3 linked regions of the Saccharomyces cerevisiae S288C genome follow. Changing the gene in region 1 together with any one later gene gives a genetic interaction. Each region holds a gene or a part of one and is shown in the gene's direction. Other genes may lie near its edges.

What was found. Genes that interact genetically often act in the same process or in processes that back each other up.
Region 2: mutations in RAD51 (region 1) and PPH3 together harm fitness more than expected from each alone (negative genetic interaction), as found in Saccharomyces cerevisiae (6 studies listed by BioGRID, with this or other methods).
Region 3: of RAD51 (region 1) and RAD55, a mutation in one rescues a mutant of the other (synthetic rescue), as found in Saccharomyces cerevisiae (9 studies listed by BioGRID, with this or other methods).

Annotation. Positions count from the first base shown.
Region 1 is NC_001137.3:347,682-352,132, forward strand, and holds RAD51 (recombinase RAD51), read left to right. Parts: upstream 1-2,298; coding exon 2,299-3,501; downstream 3,502-4,451. Other genes in the region: AIM11 (Aim11p), read right to left, coding at 231-520, 596-719; PUP3 (proteasome core particle subunit beta 3), read right to left, coding at 1,048-1,665; SHC1 (Shc1p), read left to right, coding at 4,017-4,451. UniProt on the Saccharomyces cerevisiae protein: Required both for recombination and for the repair of DNA damage caused by X-rays. Its function may be modulated by interaction with other repair proteins. RAD52 interacts directly with RAD51, via its C-terminus.
Region 2 is NC_001136.10:595,394-598,582, forward strand, and holds PPH3 (phosphoprotein phosphatase PP4 catalytic subunit PPH3), read left to right. Parts: upstream 1-1,762; coding exon 1,763-2,689; downstream 2,690-3,189. Other genes in the region: trehalose-phosphatase TPS2, read left to right, coding at 1-1,190; putative DNA-dependent ATPase RAD55, read left to right, coding at 3,075-3,189. UniProt on the Saccharomyces cerevisiae protein: Forms the histone H2A phosphatase complex in association with the regulatory subunits PSY2 and PSY4, which dephosphorylates H2AS128ph (gamma-H2A) that has been displaced from sites of DNA lesions in the double-stranded DNA break repair process.
Region 3 is NC_001136.10:596,888-600,188, forward strand, and holds RAD55 (putative DNA-dependent ATPase RAD55), read left to right. Parts: upstream 1-1,580; coding exon 1,581-2,801; downstream 2,802-3,301. Other genes in the region: phosphoprotein phosphatase PP4 catalytic subunit PPH3, read left to right, coding at 269-1,195. UniProt on the Saccharomyces cerevisiae protein: Required for radiation resistance and meiotic viability and presumably acts in recombination and recombinational DNA repair pathways.

The DNA of each region.
Region 1 (4,451 bases):
TTGAAGGTACCTTAGTTATATCCGAGAACAATAGAACTGCTTGATATTCCATCTTCCATTTCGCCGATGGATCAATCAATTTTTAAGAGAATGCAAAAAAGAAAAAGATTACAATATGTATAATTAAAAGAAGAAAGAATGTATACGGATATACGATATGTGACCAGCCGGCAACGGCTCGTAGTTATACCATTATTTACAGTTTAAAGAGATTAAGCCAATGCGTAGTGCTACTTGTTGTTTTCGCTCGACAGGAGGTCTTGCAATTGCTTAGTTAGTTTGGAAGTTTCTTCGTCCATGCTCGTGTCGGTTTCTAAGGCTTGTGGAAGGCTCATGAACTCTCTAGTCTTAAATACAAACTCTCTTGCCGTTGAAATGTCAAGTGCCCAACAAAAGCCGAATATCAATGTGCTGAACGTACCTATTGAAGCGGCGGATGCATACGTTAACGCTGACATGGCTTCATTCCTTTGGGAAAAAGGTGGAAGCTTGTAATTTTGTTGAAATATGCTGGGGACGTCTGCTTTCAGTAGACGGTGTTAGTAACTATATCCTATTATTAGTTTTGGCCACTGAACTAGGACAAAATACATACATTTTCGTACTTTTATGGCCCTGGAGATAAGCCTCATGGTAATCAGGGTGAAGGCGGCCGCACCATAAAATCTGGCCATTTGAAGAACCCTGCGTTTCTTAAGTTCCTTCTTCTCTTCGATCATAGTTTCGTTTCTTGATGAAGTAGGATAGTCGTACTAATTGCTGACAAACCCGTCAAAGAATCAAGTTCCCCATCCTAATAAGTATTAAAAGCGCCAATTTTTCAAGAGACTCGCGGCTGGTGAATAACGCTGCTCCTTAGAAAAGGACAGCCAGCGGATAGCTACTCAGATCTTCGACTGACTTTATGCATTTTAGTATTTATATATTCATTCGATCTATTCTGTTTACTTAAAAATTAAAGATGAGTTGGATGTGGAAAATTCTTGACGTTCCGCTGATATTTTGTGTTGGGGTTGTTTTTGGGACCATGAGATTGCCATGAACCGATCAATCTTGTCTCATCTTCAAGTATCTCTTCACCACTTCATCCTTCTTGATGATGTATACTACAGCTCCCCAGCCTGATAGAGCGTCACGGTCAGCAGCATTCAGTAGGGCCTGACTTATAGTTTCGAAAAGATCTTCTGGCTCTAGATTAGGTTCGTACAGGGACTCACACATACCGAACAGTTGGTCGGATGCAGTACCGCTAACGATAAAATCCTTGGCCTCGTCGATACAGCCGATTAGGTCGAATCCCGCAATAAAGGGCTTCCCGGACTTGGAATTAATACCTGCTACCACCGGCCCCACAAAGTATGGACCGAATCTTCTTTCATAAAGTGAACTTGACACTAATTGGGTAAACGTTTCAGGCTCAATGGCCCTTTCTTCCTTCAACTTATATAGGTTCGTCTTGTAGCGGAACATCTCGTTCAGAGTAGTCACGTCGGTAGCCAGACCGGTAATCCCTAAGAACACATGCCCATAGTGGAAGATTTTTTCAAACTTGTTCGACACACCTAGTGACTGGCTTCCGAGACGCAAATCACAGGCAATGGCCACACAGTCTTTACCTGTCATCGCAACGACGATACCACCGTTAATAGAACTTGGATCCGACATTTTTTTTTTATGCTTTATTCACTGTTCAATATTTTCACCACAATTCGCAAGAAACGCACTCTACTTCGAAACTACGGTTCAAACTTACTTAGCAGCTTCCCGATTTAATTGGCCTTTCTACTATGCCATAAACTCTTTCTTCCTCTCTTTTCATCGCCCCTGCATTTGCACTTTTTTGCCACCGGCAGTGCCATCCGGTCACATGACTACACCACGTTAATAGCGATCTGGCTTATCATTGTCACAGAGTAAATTAAAATGGACGGTAAATGTTGGAAATGCACCACTACCGTTCTTCAACCAATCTAGTTTAGCTATCCTGCAACAGGTGGCCTTCTTGAGCATTCCCTGAGCATTCCAACCGGTTGTATCAGTGTTTTATCACCGTCTCACCATATCCCACGACTAGGCCACACTTCGTTACCCTATGCTACGCGTCATTTCCGCTATTTCTGTCCTGGTTTGTTTACAGTACGCGTGGTGGGACCATAAAGGGGAATAGTGGGGACTGGAGAAAAAATTTTCTCAGTTACTTCTTCTATCTTCCGTAGTTTCCATATACTAGTAGTTGAGTGTAGCGACAAAGAGCAGACGTAGTTATTTGTTAAAGGCCTACTAATTTGTTATCGTCATATGTCTCAAGTTCAAGAACAACATATATCAGAGTCACAGCTTCAGTACGGGAACGGTTCGTTGATGTCCACTGTACCAGCAGACCTTTCACAGTCAGTCGTTGATGGAAACGGCAACGGTAGCAGCGAAGATATTGAGGCCACCAACGGCTCCGGCGATGGTGGCGGATTGCAGGAGCAAGCGGAAGCGCAAGGTGAAATGGAGGATGAAGCATACGATGAAGCTGCCTTAGGTTCGTTTGTGCCAATAGAAAAACTGCAAGTGAACGGGATTACTATGGCGGATGTGAAAAAACTAAGGGAGAGTGGGCTTCACACTGCTGAAGCGGTAGCATATGCTCCCAGAAAGGATTTATTGGAAATCAAAGGTATATCGGAAGCTAAGGCAGATAAGTTGCTAAACGAAGCGGCAAGGCTAGTGCCTATGGGATTTGTCACGGCTGCTGATTTTCATATGAGAAGATCGGAGCTGATTTGTTTGACAACGGGTTCTAAGAATTTGGACACTCTTTTGGGTGGTGGTGTGGAAACTGGTTCTATTACTGAGCTTTTCGGTGAATTCAGGACAGGTAAGTCCCAGCTATGTCACACTTTGGCCGTGACATGCCAAATTCCATTGGATATTGGTGGCGGTGAAGGTAAGTGTTTGTATATCGATACCGAAGGTACTTTCAGGCCGGTAAGATTGGTATCCATAGCTCAGCGGTTCGGATTAGACCCGGATGATGCTTTGAACAACGTTGCGTATGCAAGAGCCTATAACGCCGATCATCAGTTAAGACTTCTGGATGCTGCTGCCCAAATGATGAGCGAGTCTCGGTTTTCCTTGATTGTGGTCGATTCTGTTATGGCTCTATACCGTACGGATTTTTCTGGTCGTGGTGAACTAAGCGCAAGGCAAATGCATTTAGCCAAATTTATGCGTGCTTTGCAAAGGCTGGCCGACCAATTTGGTGTTGCAGTCGTCGTTACTAACCAAGTGGTCGCCCAAGTTGATGGTGGTATGGCTTTTAATCCAGATCCAAAGAAGCCTATCGGTGGTAATATTATGGCACATTCTTCCACCACGCGATTAGGTTTCAAAAAGGGTAAGGGATGTCAAAGATTATGCAAAGTTGTTGACTCACCTTGCTTACCAGAGGCTGAATGTGTGTTCGCGATCTATGAAGATGGTGTTGGTGACCCCAGAGAAGAAGACGAGTAGGTATTTGGTCTCTTGTCTCTATTTATTTACACAGGTTTACTTTCAATTCTCCTCTTTTTCTTAGGTTGCGTTCCGTACATTTTTATCTTCATTTCCATCCACTGTCTTAGATTTTTGCATATATTTTGTCATATACCTCGCAACCCTACTGCGGTCTTAACCTTTTTTTTCAGTTCTTTTAAATAACTTTCGTATTGTCTGTCACCCATGAAATATATGTATTTTTCTACTCTTCTTCCCGATGACTACTTCCTCCTGCAGGGTCCGCGCGGCTTTATCCTTTTAGGGGAGTGAAGAGAAAAATTTTCTGATATGTCGCCATCCTCTTATAAAACCAACGTAAAATACCATACACTTCTTTATGGCAATGAATTTCCTTGTCTTCGTTTCGACGTTTTTAAATTGAATAAAAAATTGTACTTGGAAAAAAGAATAGAACAATACTTTTGCTAACAGCAAGAGAAGTACGGTTGACATTACGAGTATCCCTTTGTTAAAATCAGGCAGTACCCATAATGTCCATGACTATTTGCTCAAATACTCCTGGTGCATACCCTGAAATTGGAGCTTATAATGAGGTTGATAAACAGTTGGAATCAAGCGGATTCTCCTCTGATTCCTCTCTGATATTGAATAAACCAGAAGTTCGTCAATACTGGTCATCCGTTTCATCTCATATTTCACGCTCAGGTGATGTGTTTACAAATGATAAAGAAAAAATTTCATCCTCTATTGGTGAGGATGCGATGGATATCGACGCTTCGCCCTCATTGATTGAAAAATATAACTCTTTTCCCACAAGAAAGATTCTTCCTGAGCAGGACGAGTTTGAGAACGACGTTGAGGACGATGCTTCTTCCTCACTGAAGGAAAAATCACAAGGTTCTTGTGAAATTGAAATTGCTTCTGAAATTTCATCCGAAATTTTAAATGGCACATCGGCAGACGGT
Region 2 (3,189 bases), on another chromosome or scaffold:
AATCTATTAACATGGCTTTGAAATTGGACAAGGAAGAAAAGTCCAATTTAGAATCAAAATTATGGAAAGAAGTTCCTACAATTCAAGATTGGACTAATAAGTTTTTGAGTTCATTAAAGGAACAGGCGTCATCTAATGATGATATGGAAAGGAAAATGACTCCAGCACTTAATAGACCTGTTCTTTTAGAAAATTACAAGCAGGCTAAGCGTAGATTGTTCCTTTTTGATTACGATGGTACTTTGACCCCAATTGTCAAAGACCCAGCTGCAGCTATTCCATCGGCAAGACTTTATACAATTCTACAAAAATTATGTGCTGATCCTCATAATCAAATCTGGATTATTTCTGGTCGTGACCAGAAGTTTTTGAACAAGTGGTTAGGCGGTAAACTTCCTCAACTGGGTCTAAGTGCGGAGCATGGATGTTTCATGAAAGATGTTTCTTGCCAAGATTGGGTCAATTTGACCGAAAAAGTTGATATGTCTTGGCAAGTACGCGTCAATGAAGTGATGGAAGAATTTACCACAAGGACCCCAGGTTCATTCATCGAAAGAAAGAAAGTCGCTCTAACTTGGCATTATAGACGTACCGTTCCAGAATTGGGTGAATTCCACGCCAAAGAACTGAAAGAAAAATTGTTATCATTTACTGATGACTTTGATTTAGAGGTCATGGATGGTAAAGCAAACATTGAAGTTCGTCCAAGATTCGTCAACAAAGGTGAAATAGTCAAGAGACTAGTCTGGCATCAACATGGCAAACCACAGGACATGTTGAAGGGAATCAGTGAAAAACTACCTAAGGATGAAATGCCTGATTTTGTATTATGTTTGGGTGATGACTTCACTGACGAAGACATGTTTAGACAGTTGAATACCATTGAAACTTGTTGGAAAGAAAAATATCCTGACCAAAAAAATCAATGGGGCAACTACGGATTCTATCCTGTCACTGTGGGATCTGCATCCAAGAAAACTGTCGCAAAGGCTCATTTAACCGATCCTCAGCAAGTCCTGGAGACTTTAGGTTTACTTGTTGGTGATGTCTCTCTCTTCCAAAGTGCTGGTACGGTCGACCTGGATTCCAGAGGTCATGTCAAGAATAGTGAGAGCAGTTTGAAATCAAAGCTAGCATCTAAAGCTTATGTTATGAAAAGATCGGCTTCTTACACCGGCGCAAAGGTTTGAAACACCCTTTTTAACGAAATGGTTATGACTAGACAGACATCTTACGTCTTACTCCTTCATGCTTTATTTTTTTCTTTGTATTGTATTTGAACAGTCAATATGTGGTGTTGCGACGAAGGCATATATATAATAGTCTCAACCCACCATTTTCGAAGATTTACATACACATTATATTTTTATAAACTTCCAATATGTAATAACTTTATATGATATGTAACTTCTCACTATTATCCTTACTATTAAACGGTTTTTAATAAATATCATTGTTCTTTGTTTTATTAATGAGAAAAAGAAATTTAATACAATGTCCGGCGGGAAGAAAAAAAATCGATGAATTAATTGAAAAAAAGTATCTTTATCATGTGAACTGAGGAGAAGAACGGCATCTCGAAAAGAGCACGTCGAAACAGCGGTAGGTAAAAGAGGGTACTACCAGAGGTCTTTTCTCTTTATACGTTAACCTCTCAGCTTTTTCTTTTGCAATTCAGGACACTTTAACTTGTAGTCACACGCTAGTCCACGTAGCAAAGTAAAACAGCACGAAAAAAGTGATTACAAATTTCAAGGGAGATATGATGGACTTAGATAAGATTATAGCATCACTGAGAGACGGAAAACATATTCCTGAAGAAACCGTTTTTAGGCTATGTTTAAATTCACAGGAACTATTAATGAATGAAGGCAATGTAACACAAGTCGATACACCGGTTACAATATGCGGTGATATACATGGCCAATTACACGATCTACTAACGCTCTTCGAAAAGAGTGGTGGTGTAGAGAAAACAAGGTATATTTTCTTGGGCGATTTTGTGGATAGGGGATTTTACTCATTGGAGAGTTTTTTACTTTTACTATGTTACAAATTAAGATATCCTGATAGGATTACTTTAATTAGAGGCAATCACGAAACCCGGCAAATTACTAAAGTATACGGATTTTACGATGAAGTAGTAAGAAAATATGGTAATAGTAACGTATGGAGGTACTGCTGTGAAGTTTTTGATTATTTATCATTGGGGGCAATAATAAACAATAGCATATTCTGTGTTCATGGTGGATTATCTCCGGATATGACCACGGTTGATGAAATACGAACAATAGACAGGAAACAAGAAGTTCCACATGAAGGTGCTATGTGTGACTTATTATGGAGCGACCCCGAAGACGTTGACACATGGTCATTATCACCAAGAGGTGCTGGATTTCTTTTCGGTAAAAGAGAAGTTGATCAATTCTTAGAGAAAAACAACGTTGAGTTAATTGCTAGAGCTCATCAGTTAGTGATGGAAGGTTACAAAGAAATGTTCGACGGTGGATTAGTGACAGTCTGGTCGGCACCGAATTACTGTTATCGTTGTGGTAATGTAGCAGCTGTATTGAAGATAGACGACGATTTGAATCGTGAATATACAATTTTTGAAGCTGTTCAGGCACAAAATGAAGTCGGAAATGCTATAATTCCAACCAAAAAATCTCAAATGGACTATTTCTTATAAATTTTTAACAGGCACTCTAATTGTCAAGTGCATTTTTCTTTTTTTCTTCATAATGCAATAAAGGAAAAAAAATTGTAATATTACATACTTCTTTTCACATCTTAGCTAATTAACAATATGGCTTTTGAATACTAATATATACCCAGCTACCGTTTCTTCTTTTATTTTTTATTCCTTTTTTTCTTCAGTAGAATATGTTATAGATGCGGAGGTCCCCTAAGTTCTTCACGTGTTCTCTTCTCATCGCGTTTGATATGAAAAATAGAAAAAAATACATAGTAGCATGACTAACTAATAATAAGCTCCGCTATCAAAGATGTCAAGTACATTAAGGAAAGCTTTTAGATAAGGAAAAGAACTTATTAATAATATATAATATGAAAATATGTCGCTTGGTATACCACTTTCCCAATTAATAGTAGAAAGTCCAAAGCCATTAAGTAGCGGCATCACAGGATTAGATGAGATATTAAACCTGGGATTCCAGGCAAGGTCGATCT
Region 3 (3,301 bases), on another chromosome or scaffold:
ATGTCCGGCGGGAAGAAAAAAAATCGATGAATTAATTGAAAAAAAGTATCTTTATCATGTGAACTGAGGAGAAGAACGGCATCTCGAAAAGAGCACGTCGAAACAGCGGTAGGTAAAAGAGGGTACTACCAGAGGTCTTTTCTCTTTATACGTTAACCTCTCAGCTTTTTCTTTTGCAATTCAGGACACTTTAACTTGTAGTCACACGCTAGTCCACGTAGCAAAGTAAAACAGCACGAAAAAAGTGATTACAAATTTCAAGGGAGATATGATGGACTTAGATAAGATTATAGCATCACTGAGAGACGGAAAACATATTCCTGAAGAAACCGTTTTTAGGCTATGTTTAAATTCACAGGAACTATTAATGAATGAAGGCAATGTAACACAAGTCGATACACCGGTTACAATATGCGGTGATATACATGGCCAATTACACGATCTACTAACGCTCTTCGAAAAGAGTGGTGGTGTAGAGAAAACAAGGTATATTTTCTTGGGCGATTTTGTGGATAGGGGATTTTACTCATTGGAGAGTTTTTTACTTTTACTATGTTACAAATTAAGATATCCTGATAGGATTACTTTAATTAGAGGCAATCACGAAACCCGGCAAATTACTAAAGTATACGGATTTTACGATGAAGTAGTAAGAAAATATGGTAATAGTAACGTATGGAGGTACTGCTGTGAAGTTTTTGATTATTTATCATTGGGGGCAATAATAAACAATAGCATATTCTGTGTTCATGGTGGATTATCTCCGGATATGACCACGGTTGATGAAATACGAACAATAGACAGGAAACAAGAAGTTCCACATGAAGGTGCTATGTGTGACTTATTATGGAGCGACCCCGAAGACGTTGACACATGGTCATTATCACCAAGAGGTGCTGGATTTCTTTTCGGTAAAAGAGAAGTTGATCAATTCTTAGAGAAAAACAACGTTGAGTTAATTGCTAGAGCTCATCAGTTAGTGATGGAAGGTTACAAAGAAATGTTCGACGGTGGATTAGTGACAGTCTGGTCGGCACCGAATTACTGTTATCGTTGTGGTAATGTAGCAGCTGTATTGAAGATAGACGACGATTTGAATCGTGAATATACAATTTTTGAAGCTGTTCAGGCACAAAATGAAGTCGGAAATGCTATAATTCCAACCAAAAAATCTCAAATGGACTATTTCTTATAAATTTTTAACAGGCACTCTAATTGTCAAGTGCATTTTTCTTTTTTTCTTCATAATGCAATAAAGGAAAAAAAATTGTAATATTACATACTTCTTTTCACATCTTAGCTAATTAACAATATGGCTTTTGAATACTAATATATACCCAGCTACCGTTTCTTCTTTTATTTTTTATTCCTTTTTTTCTTCAGTAGAATATGTTATAGATGCGGAGGTCCCCTAAGTTCTTCACGTGTTCTCTTCTCATCGCGTTTGATATGAAAAATAGAAAAAAATACATAGTAGCATGACTAACTAATAATAAGCTCCGCTATCAAAGATGTCAAGTACATTAAGGAAAGCTTTTAGATAAGGAAAAGAACTTATTAATAATATATAATATGAAAATATGTCGCTTGGTATACCACTTTCCCAATTAATAGTAGAAAGTCCAAAGCCATTAAGTAGCGGCATCACAGGATTAGATGAGATATTAAACCTGGGATTCCAGGCAAGGTCGATCTACGAAATATTTGGGCCTCCGGGCATTGGCAAGACTAATTTTGGCATTCAATTGGTGTGTAATTCGTTAGAAGGCATACAACAATCGGAAATAAACGACGATAAAATTCTATGGATAGAAACATTTCAAGAAATGCCCATAAACATACTAAGAGAACGCTTTCAAAAATTTAAAATCGTGGAAGAAAATGTGAAGCGGGTCCGAATAACGAAATTTGGACAGCTATTATATTTCTTCCAGAATTTGTTCAAATTATCTCAAAGTGTGCGATATAAACTAGTTATAATTGATGGATTTTCTCAATTAGTCTGCGATCATCTGTGTACACTAAGTAAAAGAGGCGGCGGAATGATAGATAAAACTATACACGAGTTAAAATGTCGACATTTGATATTAATTTTTACGGTAATGACCAAATACACACATTCCACGGGTTCGACAATAATAGTTTTAAATGACTGTATGAACACCGCCTTCCAATCAAACGAATTCGAATCCTTGGAAGAATACTACGAAATTTTAGACGACGGATCTAACTTCTTTGTCAACTCTAACAACGAAAGGCGTAAGAACAATGTACATATATTGAAAAGCGCGCTCGTTGCCAATATCGCTATGGGAAGCAAGGATTCCACTTGGGAAGTATTTCTAAGAGACAGGATCGGCCTTTTTAGGGATTGGAATGAACAAGTGGACGAAACCGTTTTCGTGAAAAGCAAAAGAGTGAAGGCGTCATCCTCGCAGAGTAACGAGGGATGTACTACCATCAAAGAAATGAGAATAAACAAACGAAACTTTGAAAACTTGAGAATAGCTATTGTTTTTAATTTACACGGCGAAGATAGAAAAAGAGAAGGACGAAATTTAAAGCGGTCAAGAAGCAGCGACGATCGTAACTATATTGTCAAATTTGATTTTGATAAAGCAACAGGTCAACTCCGCGATATAATTGATCTGAAACCTGATACTGCTAATATTGCCTCATTTCCAACATTATCAACAAGCAGCAGCAGTTGCTCACAAGTGTTTAACAATATTGACTCCAATGATAATCCATTACCAAATGCGGAGGGAAAGGAGGAGATAATTTATGATAGTGAAGGTTAATAGTAAAATAAAAAAACCGAAAACCGAAAACAATAAAAAATGGAAAAACGACAACATTCCACCCAACAACTACAAAGAAAAGTTAAGGGTAATTTTACCTATTTAGGATTTTAATCTGTTGGAGTTAAGGTGAATACGTTTTTCCATATTGGGGTATGCAGCTCGAACCTAAAGTGGTATGTACACATCCCCTCAAGCACACCCATTACCCTTATAGGATTAATGTAAGCAACAGCTTACACGGAATTGGAAATACTATTCAACGATCCATGCATCTGCCAGATTCGGACATGCATATTCCCCAATTGGATATAGAAAATTAACGTAAGGCAGTATCTTTTCACAATGTACTTGCAACGCGGCGACTTAAAGTTGAAGTACAACCTGCAGCAGCGGCTTTTTGTACGGTACGCCAAACTGTCAATGGATAATATTGCGTAGACCGAAAAAGGTAATCCTCAACACTACCCGTGGTGGATGACCTAAAGCAGTAATATTGG